Styela clava: one gene and its partners. The protein of the gene in region 3 binds, or shares a complex with, the protein of the main gene of each other region. Links are inferred from orthologs where the notes say so. Each region holds a gene or a part of one and is shown on either strand. Other genes may lie near its edges. The genes, in order: eukaryotic translation initiation factor 3 subunit E-like, eukaryotic translation initiation factor 3 subunit J-like and eukaryotic translation initiation factor 3 subunit A-like.

What was found.
Region 1: eukaryotic translation initiation factor 3 subunit A-like (region 3) and eukaryotic translation initiation factor 3 subunit E-like share a complex: the UniProt entries of both Drosophila melanogaster proteins name them as parts of the eukaryotic translation initiation factor 3 (eIF-3) complex. The link is inferred for Styela clava from reciprocal best matches to the Drosophila melanogaster genes eIF3a and eIF3e.
Region 2: eukaryotic translation initiation factor 3 subunit A-like (region 3) and eukaryotic translation initiation factor 3 subunit J-like share a complex: the UniProt entries of both Drosophila melanogaster proteins name them as parts of the eukaryotic translation initiation factor 3 (eIF-3) complex. The link is inferred for Styela clava from reciprocal best matches to the Drosophila melanogaster genes eIF3a and eIF3j.

What each region holds. Positions count from the first base shown.
Region 1 is NC_135257.1:13,248,802-13,252,556, forward strand, and holds the start of eukaryotic translation initiation factor 3 subunit E-like, read right to left. Parts: upstream 2,830-3,755; 5' UTR 2,803-2,829; coding exon 2,608-2,802; intron 2,219-2,607; coding exon 2,102-2,218; intron 1,862-2,101; coding exon 1,735-1,861; intron 1,655-1,734; coding exon 1,473-1,654; intron 1,084-1,472; coding exon 895-1,083; intron 574-894; coding exon 343-573; intron 33-342; coding exon 1-32. UniProt on the Drosophila melanogaster protein: Component of the eukaryotic translation initiation factor 3 (eIF-3) complex, which is involved in protein synthesis of a specialized repertoire of mRNAs and, together with other initiation factors, stimulates binding of mRNA and methionyl-tRNAi to the 40S ribosome.
Region 2 is NC_135257.1:14,147,619-14,151,373, forward strand, and holds the start of eukaryotic translation initiation factor 3 subunit J-like, read left to right. Parts: upstream 1-788; 5' UTR 789-1,046; coding exon 1,047-1,059; intron 1,060-1,262; coding exon 1,263-1,406; intron 1,407-2,202; coding exon 2,203-2,409; intron 2,410-2,695; coding exon 2,696-2,860; intron 2,861-3,352; coding exon 3,353-3,426; intron 3,427-3,755. UniProt on the Drosophila melanogaster protein: Component of the eukaryotic translation initiation factor 3 (eIF-3) complex, which is involved in protein synthesis of a specialized repertoire of mRNAs and, together with other initiation factors, stimulates binding of mRNA and methionyl-tRNAi to the 40S ribosome.
Region 3 is NC_135253.1:8,120,205-8,123,959, reverse strand, and holds the start of eukaryotic translation initiation factor 3 subunit A-like, read right to left. Parts: upstream 2,755-3,755; 5' UTR 2,676-2,754; coding exon 1-2,675. UniProt on the Drosophila melanogaster protein: RNA-binding component of the eukaryotic translation initiation factor 3 (eIF-3) complex, which is involved in protein synthesis of a specialized repertoire of mRNAs and, together with other initiation factors, stimulates binding of mRNA and methionyl-tRNAi to the 40S ribosome.

The DNA of each region.
Region 1 (3,755 bases), on a different chromosome or scaffold from region 3:
AGTTTCTCTGCCAGCATATCAATGCTAATGCACTGCGTAGGAAGAAAAAATTTATATTGATTCTACGTATCCAAAAAATGAAAAAAACCAACCATCAGATATTAGCACAAGATAATGACTGGGACTTCAAGAATCAATTGAGTTCATGTTTATCACATAAGCTAGGAACTAGTAATAGTCTTTAAGTATGACAATAGTTAAAACTCCTTAACTCTTAAAAACTTTACATTTTACTCTAAACACCACTGTTCAGTACAGCCAGACTCTTTTAATACTCATTAATAATAGTGTTAGAGCAATTAATATGGGGAAGCCAAATAATAAATAACATGAATTATATACCTGATGAATACGGCAAAATGTTTCGAAAATGAACAATCTTGCATTTTCTATGAACTCATCAAGACAAGCAATGAGGAAGAAATCGTTTGCCAATACAGTCTCACATTCCCTCAGTTTTTCTTGAGCACGATCAAAATCAAAATGAATGTAAAGACATTCAATAAATTCAGTGACTGGGTCACGGTATGTGTAGGTCTCTTGTTGAATTACACGAACAAGATCTTTCAAAACCTAGAAGACGAAGTTTGTTTAACCTAACTGCTAACTGTTGGATCTTTTGCACTAATGCAAAAATGTAAGATTTGGAAAACACCACCGCCACATTTTAAGTACTGCAGATTGAGCATTCGCTGTCGATAACCCCGACTTCGATAAATTCAGTGCTGGAATCCATCATTAAATAAAAAATATCTAGACACTAATTTTTTTAATTTGAGCAGAGGGGGAGTGTTTTTTTTTGGCGGGGGCTTTCTAGAAAAAGTCAAAAATATTATAGATTATTTATTTACCTAAAACTACCTATTACTTTACAATCAAATATTAATTGCTCACCTGTCTTCTCCTTTTACTTGTGATAACTGCTGTTGTGAGATAACGAAGTATCCAGGGACACATGGTTTGAATAGCATTTAAGTAAGGTAGTTGATAGAGAAAAAGTTCAATGATTTCATCTTTGCCCTTAGCATGATTGAAAAATACAAACAAAGACCAATGGATCAGCCATGTCCTCTGCTGGAGTAGCTGAAACAAAACATATGTTTTAAAATTTAAAATACCAAAGTCTGTAAATCCACAGAAATTAATAAATTAAACTTTGAGGTACATTTAAAATATATTCAAAAAATGTTCTCAAAACTAGAATCCATATTATTGATAAATCTATATATTTGACTATCAGCTCTGTATTTTATGGGTCTTTGAGCCCAACTGTCACATGCAGACGAATTTGCTGCCACCAGACTTCCACAGCTCTGAGCATGTTTTTACATAAATGAGGTCATGCTAAGAAAAAATAGCCTCCAACTCTAAAATTTCCAACTCTATTATTAAACATCTTATCCAATATATACATATAAATATAATATTGATATAAAGATGAGTGAAACTAGCAAATAACTAATGAGTGAAACCTGCAGAGGAGTAGCTATTGTGTTTGCATCTATTGTTTCTCGCAATCTATGCAAATCTTCCCAAGCTGTATCCCAATTCTGCATCAATATTTCACTAGCCAGTTTCCCCCACAAAGTATCCATCGCATGTTTATCTGTCGGACTTACAAGAACTCTATGAAAATATAGGTATTCAGCAGCACCTGAAAATAATATTAATAGAATTCAGGTACCAAATGGATTGAACAACCAACTTTGACTATTAAAATCTCTATAGTCATACCTGAATAGTTACCACATTCATACTGGAACTTGGCATAATCATATAAAGAATCTAAGTCTTCGAGCCTAAATGCATGGTTTGTTTCCAGATATTCAAAAAGTTGTTTTCCGTCTCTGACAGTTTCGACCTGTAAAATCAGAGAATGTTGAGAAATGCAGCTTTATCATTCAGTTGAACTGTTCATCAAACAAGTACTAGCCGAAACTTTTTAAAAGAGCAAAATACTCACGAACTGGAACTATATGGTAAAATGCTCATATTTTCTACATTAAATGAATATTCTGGACAGAAAGTATTGATTTGTATGTTGTTATCAGCATTAGTATAAAATATCAGTCATTTGAATCCAATAATAAGCAGCACCAACCTGTTTACTGACTTCCGGGTTATTGAAAATCTCAACGATAGGCATAGTTTTTGTAGTATGAGATTTTAATAAGCCGACAACTTCTAATCTTTTCTCTGTTAGATGAGCAGGAGCCTCCTTAAAAATAAGAGCATCATTAAATAGAGCACAAATGTACGTATATCAAATACCAACCCCTATTTGACTACACAATCCAAAAAATGACATCAATATCATGTCACAATCACTTCACGCCTCCAACCGATGAAATGGCATCTGCGCCGACGAAAAAGAACTCACTAAGATCGTTGCGGCGAAAAAACAAGTGATCGGAGAACATCTGCGCATCTTGGATTACAGTTCGTATAGTTTAAAGGGCCTTAATACATCGTGGTGACATAATTTTTGGATGACACAATCAAGTGTGGGTTAGATGGACATAAGCTAAAATTGTTACACCCACTAGAAGTACTCATGTTGGAAACTACACTAGACCCAAATTGAAAGCTATCAGATGCTATACTTGCCTCGCCAGGATACAAAGTTTTATAAACATCCACTGCGAAATCCACCATGTTTGTGTTGCTCAGAAGATCAATTTTTCCTTTGTGCAAATCCCTTTCATCAAATATGTCTCGTTCAGATAAAAATTCCAATAATGGAAACACCAAGTGGCGATCCAAATAACAACCAATTTTTGATGTGAGATCATATTCAGCCATTTTAAATTTAATTGGAATAACTATACCTATATAACATAAAGAAAAATTGAACCGTTTTAGTTTCCTAATTGATTTTTTCAAGTGGACTATATTTTAATTTAACTAATTGATTATCTTTTTAGAAAGAATTACACTCATTTCCCTTTTCCGAAATGTCTAATTTTAGTCCGTGATCTCAGCTGTCGGAATATCCAAATCATTTTCACAAGCCTGCAAACATCTAAACTTTCTCAAATTTGAGCAAATCACTAGTAACGCAACTTGCATGCAGATCGTACAAATGAACTTTAGGATACTTCTAATTTTATAATATTGATCTATTCATTTAAACGAGAAGTAAACAATCATACGGTGGGTACCCCTGAAATAAAGCACACAAATTCTCCTTTTCCTGTATTATAGCCACGCGAGTGTTCGAGTGATGGTGTTGAATGACGTCACTAGGGTTCAAGCATGCCTTGTCAACGCATCCTTTGTGGCCAAAGACATATTTTGTCTACTTCAAATGGCTAATTCGGTATATAAGGATGATTTTTCATTATTATTATTTGTTTTATCCTATATTCATTTGTTTGTAGACAGCAATAACGCAAATAAATAATGCAGTAGTCAAAAATCAAGATCAAGGGGTCAAGGGTCATAGAAACATCACAAATACTTTGATTGTAACCGAAGTGAATATAGTCATTCATTAGTCTGTCACTTTGATTGTAACCGCCTAGCATCAAATTATGCACTCTTTCCCGATAGGCAGTATTTTTGTTTCCGTAAATCGATTTCTTGCAGAATTCCCACAGCGAAAAACTATTTAAGCGTTGGTCTAATGACTCTAATTACATAATTAATGATGTTAGACCGCCATATTTCAGAATTTACTTTTTTCTGTTTGTCGCAAATTTCTACTTACCTAATTCAAATTCTTTCCCCAACAACTCAAGGTAACAATCCCCAAA
Region 2 (3,755 bases), on a different chromosome or scaffold from region 3:
ATTCTGTCACATAGTTCTTGTTTCAAGGAGTTGCTATCATTCAAGAATAGATAATTACCCGCAGAATCTTAACTCCGACAATGCTCGAAACTAAACAGACCAAAGTTGTGAGGAGTGGGTGGAAAAATATAATCAGATAAAATGTTTGATAAAAGTAAAGTTCTTTAATGAAATTCCGGTATTAGATGGAAATCTATGAGAAAAGGTTTAAATCCAAGGAATTTGGGATCGGGCTAACCCAATTTAGAACGTCAAGATCAGTAGCTTTTCAGCAACAGGAGATGAGGATTCAGCGAGAAGATTGCTATGTAAATCCTATCCCATCAAACATGGCGAATGATCAAATACTAGTCGCCATAAGGCGCGAGAGAGAAGAAATGGAAATCCGCCCAAGATTTCTCATGTATCTTGCCAGAATTGGAGCCAGCAGTTTACCTTATATCTTGGATTAATTTTAGAATTGTTTTAAAATTTTCGCTTTCCTTATTATATAAATTATTTTGGCATTTTTCATTTATTTAAGAGATAAAATGGTCGACAAATTTAGTATTTAAATTAGTATTTTGTAGAAATAGAGGATCGTTCTAACCAACAGATCTGTCAACCATGAATTACGGTACCAGCTTGCTTGAACATGTGTTGTGTGGATCGGTGTCTGTGAAGAAGGTTTTGGAGGGGTTTGGATTATATCATTGTATCAATGCTCTGTTTCTATTCCTTACTACTGTACTGTACATCATTTATTATTTGTGAATATTGCAACATAGGGTCAGTAGAGTACTTTACAATCACTGAATCAACTTTATTTTTTCTGAAGTCAGCAACTAGATCATTGCATTATTCCAGGTTGTGTTTTATTTAGTCAGTATATTTAGACATTCTGACATTCACACATTGCTTCACTGATCTGACTCTACATCGGGTTTTAGTTTTTATTCCCCGACTCTGTGACTGGAAGTTTTATCACTGAGAACACTTTCTGACTTTGTACAAATCCTGTTGAACGAAGAAAGATATTGCCAATTCTGCAATTAGAATAAAGAATCATGGCTGATTGGGGTTAGATATTGTTCATGCTAATGTTTCTTTTTATTATTGCCTTACAGTATTACCGCACTGACATGTAAAATTGACTTTAATTATTTAAATAATTTCCTAATCAAACAACTACCGTTAAGATATGGTTAAATCATACAAAATTTTTTTTTCTATTTCATCACTTGTTACATGTATGTGAACAAGGATATTTTTTACAATAACAGAAGATGAAGATTTTGAACCTCCAACTATTGACAAACCCGTTGCGCCAGCTACTGATCTGTGGGAGGGAGAAGATGAAGAGGATGACATCAAAGATAACTGGGATGATGAAGAGGAAGAGAAAAAGCCAGAAACACCGAATCAAGGTTTAATATAGCTAGGCTTTCAACTTACAAGACCAAGGCTAATGTTGAAATTTCAAAAATATTTTATTTAAAAATATTACAAAGAAATAAGTACTGTTTTTTAAGCTGGTAATCTAATTATAGTTTGAAACAATGTTCAAAAGTAGTTAAATAAAAAGTTACAGGATATTCAAAATTAAAAATATAGGTTTTTCTCAATTTCTCAAACAGGTTTCCCCCTTTTAGGTTAGAACCCTCGATATTGTAATTGTTTTGCCATTGAGTTCTTTAATATAAAAGCCTTGTTGATTTATTAATTTTTCAGATTTTGGTTGACTTTGTTTTAAATATCATCATATTGACTAGCGGAAGTTTTATAATATGACCAACAAACATGCAAAGCAAACTCATTGAATATACAAAGACTCTCTTCGTTGAAGGCACAGTTTATAGAATCCATATCTGAAAATATTATTTTAGAATGATTCAATTAGTTTTTGCTGTTTCTACTACCAATCAACCAAGACTTTGTTTTGTTTCATTCTTGAATTCTTCCATTTGAAAATATCTATTTACACATTCAATAATTCAAAAAAATTATTATCTGAAAAAAAAAAAATATATATTTTGTTTGAGTGATTGAACAATTTTTTCTGTCCAAGTGATTTCAACTGATATCCTCAAAATTTGGATTTGCTTTCCAGTTTATAGGTTTGATACAAATTATTATTATTGGTGAAATAATTCACTTCATATTTGACTGAAAATTTATATTGAATTCCTGGCCTTGCATGATTTTTTTTTGTTTCTTCATCAGCTGCAGCTGCAGGAGAACCAAAGAAAAGTACAAAAAAGGCACTGTCTAAGAAACTAAAGGAAAAAGAAGAACAAGCAGCTAGAGCAGCAGAGGCAAAAAGGCTGGCAGCACTTGCAGAGAAAACGCCAGAAGAAATTATGGCTGACAAGTTGATGGCTCAAAAGTTATCTGAAGAATCTGATTTTGAAGTTGCTAAAGATACATTCGGTTGGTTTTTTGATTGATATTTGTTAAACATATGTAGAATAAAGCAAAATAACTGATTTTTTGTCATGAATTTCTTCAAATAAGTAGCTTTTATATCGAACACTGTCTTACAAAGAAAACTCTAGGAATAGTAATTTGTGATGGCAATTTCATATCGAAGTCAGTTTTATGGTTATGGTTAATTATGGTTACAATTTGCTTTATTTTTAGGGGAAATCTTTTAGGATGTAAATGGTGATAATGCAGCAACATAAGCGAATGAAGTGTAAAAAAATTTTTTTTTCAGGTGTAACGTCTGCTGATTTGATCACAATAGACAATTGTGATCCAAGAACTAAAGAAGATTTCATAAATTTCGAAAAGTTAATTTCAGAAAAATTCTCAAAATATGAATCGTCTCCGCATTATCAATCCTTCCTTGAAACCTTATTTCGGAATTCTTGCTTAAGTCGTGAGTTGTTTTATTACAGTATTTTTAGTCTCATCTATATAATTAATATTTTTTCCCAAAGTTACTGGCAATCCGTCACATAAACCATCGTATTTAAATGAGACTGGGTAGATGTTTATTAAGGAGCAAACCTTCGGGGGTTCTTCCAAAAATCTGTAACTAGCCTATATTAAAAAGGGTCATCTGTAAATGGACTTTCTATTCGAAATGTCTGTGAAATTTAGTCGAGCAGATTTGGAAATTGGAAACACTTTGGGAATTTTTCCATATGGATCCTTTTAGATTAATCAGTAATTTGATGAATAATAACTAACATGATAATTACTTTAGGGAAACAATAATGGAGACAGCTAGTATGTCCTGACATATTTTTGTTGTCTGACTGATTTTCCTGATCTAAATTGCAATATTTCTAGATAGGACTTGTTACAAATAAAGCATCCAGAGCTGCTTAATATTCAATGCATTTCTCATTCATCTGCTTTTCCTTAGTTGATGCCGAATCTTTGAAGAAACTCATAAGTTCTTTGAATGTTTTACAAAGTGAAAAAGCAAAACAAGAAAGGGTATGTTTTAGATTTTTGACGACTTACAGATTAATTGAAAATATATGTACACACACAAAAATTTGTACCTTAATTATGAAAATCATTTTGTATGGTGTTCAGAAATCCTTTCATTCATGGTTTGAGACTGCGTCTTCACCAAGGGATTCTTGCCATCATGATAGCAAGCATATTCTCAATGCTAAGCTGAATATGCCACAGTGCAGCCAATTCCCTCACTGTGATCAAATCTGTTATTTCCATTATTACTTATCGATTTTAATTGGTAAGAATGTTGATAGGTATCTGTCTGTCTGTTTGTTTGTCTATTAGATGCACGCGATATCTCA
Region 3 (3,755 bases):
GCTGGTGGGCCATCTCTTTCACCTCTTGGTCTATAGGCATTCGGATTCTGTTGGGCAGCAATCTTAGCTTCAATCTCACGTTCTCTTTGCAGTCGCTTCTCCTCAGCGATCTTAAGTGCTTGCATCTTCTCTTCATATGCACGTGTCTCTTCTTCTTGTTTTTCACGTTCAGCACGCTCTTTTTCTTCGCGCTCTCTCTTCAACTGCTCATCAAGTATTCTTTGTTCATATTCTGCCTTGTCTTTGAGCCACTTTTGACGACGTTGCTCTTTTCTCTCTTGTTTTCTTTCAGCGAGTCGTTCTTCGCGAACTTCGAAAAGCATTTTTTCGAATTCTGAATGCTTTTTATCAAAGATTGCTCTTCTTGATTCTCTCAGACTCTGTAAATATATATTTCGATCCTCTTTCATCCTTGACAATCTCTCTTTGGTTTGATTTGTGATGATCTGTTCAACCTTGGTTCTTTCAATGCGCTCTGCTTCTAGTTCCTCCCATAGTATGGCATCAGTCTCACGTTTCTTTTCATATTTTTCTTTCATCAGCGGGATCTCTTCAAGACGTTTGGCTCTCTCAAAGTAATCCACTTTCTTCTCTTGAGCTTTCAGTCTATCTTGCATATCCTTCTTTTCTCTTTCCATGGTTTCCATTTGTCTTTTCATTAATTCATCTGGATCAATTTTTGTGAAAGTGTCCACATCAATGTCCTTAAGCATTTTTGCTCCAAGTTCACTCTTTCGAATCATTTCAAGGCGATCCTGTGCCACCCGACGTTCTTCATCTTCCTTTTCCTCGCGGCGACGCATTTCTTCCCGTTCTCTCATTTCCTTCGTGAGTCGTTCTTGTTCAGCTGCTTTAACAGCTTCTTCTTGCTCTTTGGCAGCCTTTTGCTCTTGCTTCTCCCGTTCTCTACTGAATTCTTCAAGCTGTTCTTTGCGCATTTCAATAACTTGTCGTCTCTGCAATATATTTTGCTGATCTTTCCTCCAAGTTTTTGTGTAGAGGTTCAGAATTTCATTTTTCCTCTGGAGCATCTTATCCACTTCTGCCTGTGGTTGAAGTTTCCTGTAAGCAACATGAAGTGATTGAGCCATTTCGTTGAATTGTTGAGAAATTTTTTCGCTTGGCAGAGGTTGCAGGCGTTGCGGTTCAAAGAATTCATCCTCTACATAAAGTGGAGAAGCATTCAAGTCAGTGCCAAACCTGATTGCACCCTTACTATGATCAATGCGAACTTGAATCTGACCATTGCGAGATGCATCAATAATAGCACGCTCCAACTGAAAAGCAGAACAAAACGGAAGAAGACTCAAAAGATGAGATAGCTCAATGGTTTGATAGACATTGGCAACTTGTTGCAGAACACGAGAGACAACATTTCCCTCCAAAGCAGTGATATATTGTGCAAGCTCTGGTTCTCTTGTTTGCTCACGTATCCATTGCAATGACTGTCCAACACGTGCACTGAGACGAAGTGGATGGAAATCAACCTCAAGCCATTGGAAGAGATCTCTCAGCTGTTTAGGTGTGTATTGCAATATGTTGTGTTTCTTGAGATCCTCAATCAAGCTTGAACGAGTTGGTGGTCTGCTGAGCCCAAGAAGCTTTGCCAACTTTAAGTGCTTGTCAATCAAAGCACTTTCCATATCAAGCATTTTACCAATTCCATGTTTCTGCTCAGTGATTGGGATAGCTAATGTGGAAACAAGCATGAGAGAAGCCATTCTAGACAAATCATCCTTAGTTGGGTTCTTTTTCATCTCTTTGGTGAGTCGAAACAAATGGTGCCTTGAACTTGCATGGAAAAGCATGTTGCCAGCTTTCCAAAAGACCAGAGACAACTTTGAATGAAAATTCACCAAAACTTGGGGCTTTGGTGGTTTTTTCGAAAGTGACATCAGATAATGGATATCCTCCACAGCCTTGAATGCTTCTTGCCATAGCTCGATCTTAATAGCACTATCAAGCTGTGCAATCCTTGTGCCAAGGTGCAACAACTGGCTTTCCACATTGGTGAGATTGATAGATACTGCTGTTTGGTGACGCTGCTCACTCAATTTCACATGGTTTCTAAGATTGTCGCAAAGCTTTCGAAATTCTGTACGACGATCATACTTCAAACAGAATTCAAATGCATTTAGAGCAATATCTTGATACAATTTCTCGACTCTGTTATTATTTCTCAGCAGATCCAAGCATTGGCGATAGCTTTCCCACAAAAACTTGACCCAAGGTGTCAACATGAGACGGTTGGTTCGATCATGGGTTTTCTCACCAGTAACAGCACTAAGCAAAACACCTTCTGGCGAATCAATCATATCAAGATCTTCAACCATTTGCAAAGCGGTCTCAGTTGATTTATCCTTTGCCTCTTCAGTCTTCTCTTCAGCTAACTTGAGATAATTCTTCACAGCATTTTCAAGAGAGTTGATGTTGACTTGCTGGCAAATTATTTTATACTGATACAATCCTTCTTTGGCCGCCTGGCTCTTTCGGAGGTCCACACAAAGGTTTAGATATTGTCTAATGATTTGCTCATGAATCTTCTGCCAGGTTCGATGCTTCTTGCTTCGCAGCACATCACTGAGAACATCTAAGGCTGGTTTTAGCTTTCCAACCTCAAGAAATTCTTGCGCTCTCTTAAGAGCATTTTCAGGTCGTTGAAAATACTCTGGCATCTCCGACAAACTGCGGAAAACTTAATAAGGACAAATATGCTAAATCAGATGTTGTTAACTGTAAAATATAAACATCATATGACATGCATTAAAAATGTAAACTAGAAAGCAGTACCACCTTTGGTAATTTTCATTTCGAGTAATGTGGTTTGAATTCTATTGTTATTAGAAAATATTCTTGGTGCTGTTTCATCAACAAATTCAGTAATTACCTCCTGTACCTCACAATTGGCAAATTTAGGAATCAATCCAGCAATCGGCCGTGATCATTTTGAATTAAGTTATTTGTCAACATGAGTTTTAAAATAAAGCTGACCAATTCAAAACGATTTTTAACCAGATAAGTGAGGGATAATACCACAATGCTTGAATATAAAGTATATGATCTAAAATGGCATTTTGAAATCTTGTGAGCAATGACTATTTTCCAAGGGGATTTTGCTTTCAGCATCTTATCTGTGTTCGAAAGCACTTATATTTGCAAAAAGTCTTTCTCCATTATGAAGAAAATAAAATCTAATACTAAATGTTCATATAGGAAGATTGATCGATGAAAAATAATGATCGAATGTGTTTGCACAATAAAAGTGTTTGTTCCATATCACGCTGTTCATCTATTCTAGGCAATATTGTGGCGCGTGAATAATGCAAAAATAATTTTGTGGCCCCCATCAGGGGTCTACAACAGGCGGCCCTTGTCAACATTCACATTTTTTCCCAGTCCTAATCGACAGTTTATGTTTAAAAACATGGGTAAAAATACACAATGGTTTTCTTTTCGCTATTTTACGCAGTGTCTTCATCACTATACAGCGGTATGTAGACCAGCAAGATGTTTGAAGTTGGATATACGGCCCACCGACAAAAAAATGTTGCACACCCCTGGTCTAGATAAGGTAGAATTCATTTCATGTGACACTGCCATATGAATTTAAAGTTGGTAGCTGAGTAGACTATTTCTGTATTTCAATACTCCAAATAGGAGTGGAAGTGGTGACTCCTCTGCGGCCCATGGGCCGGGGCCACGGTCCATCGAATTGGGCCTCGGCCCATCAGGCTATGGGCCGCGGCCCATCAAGT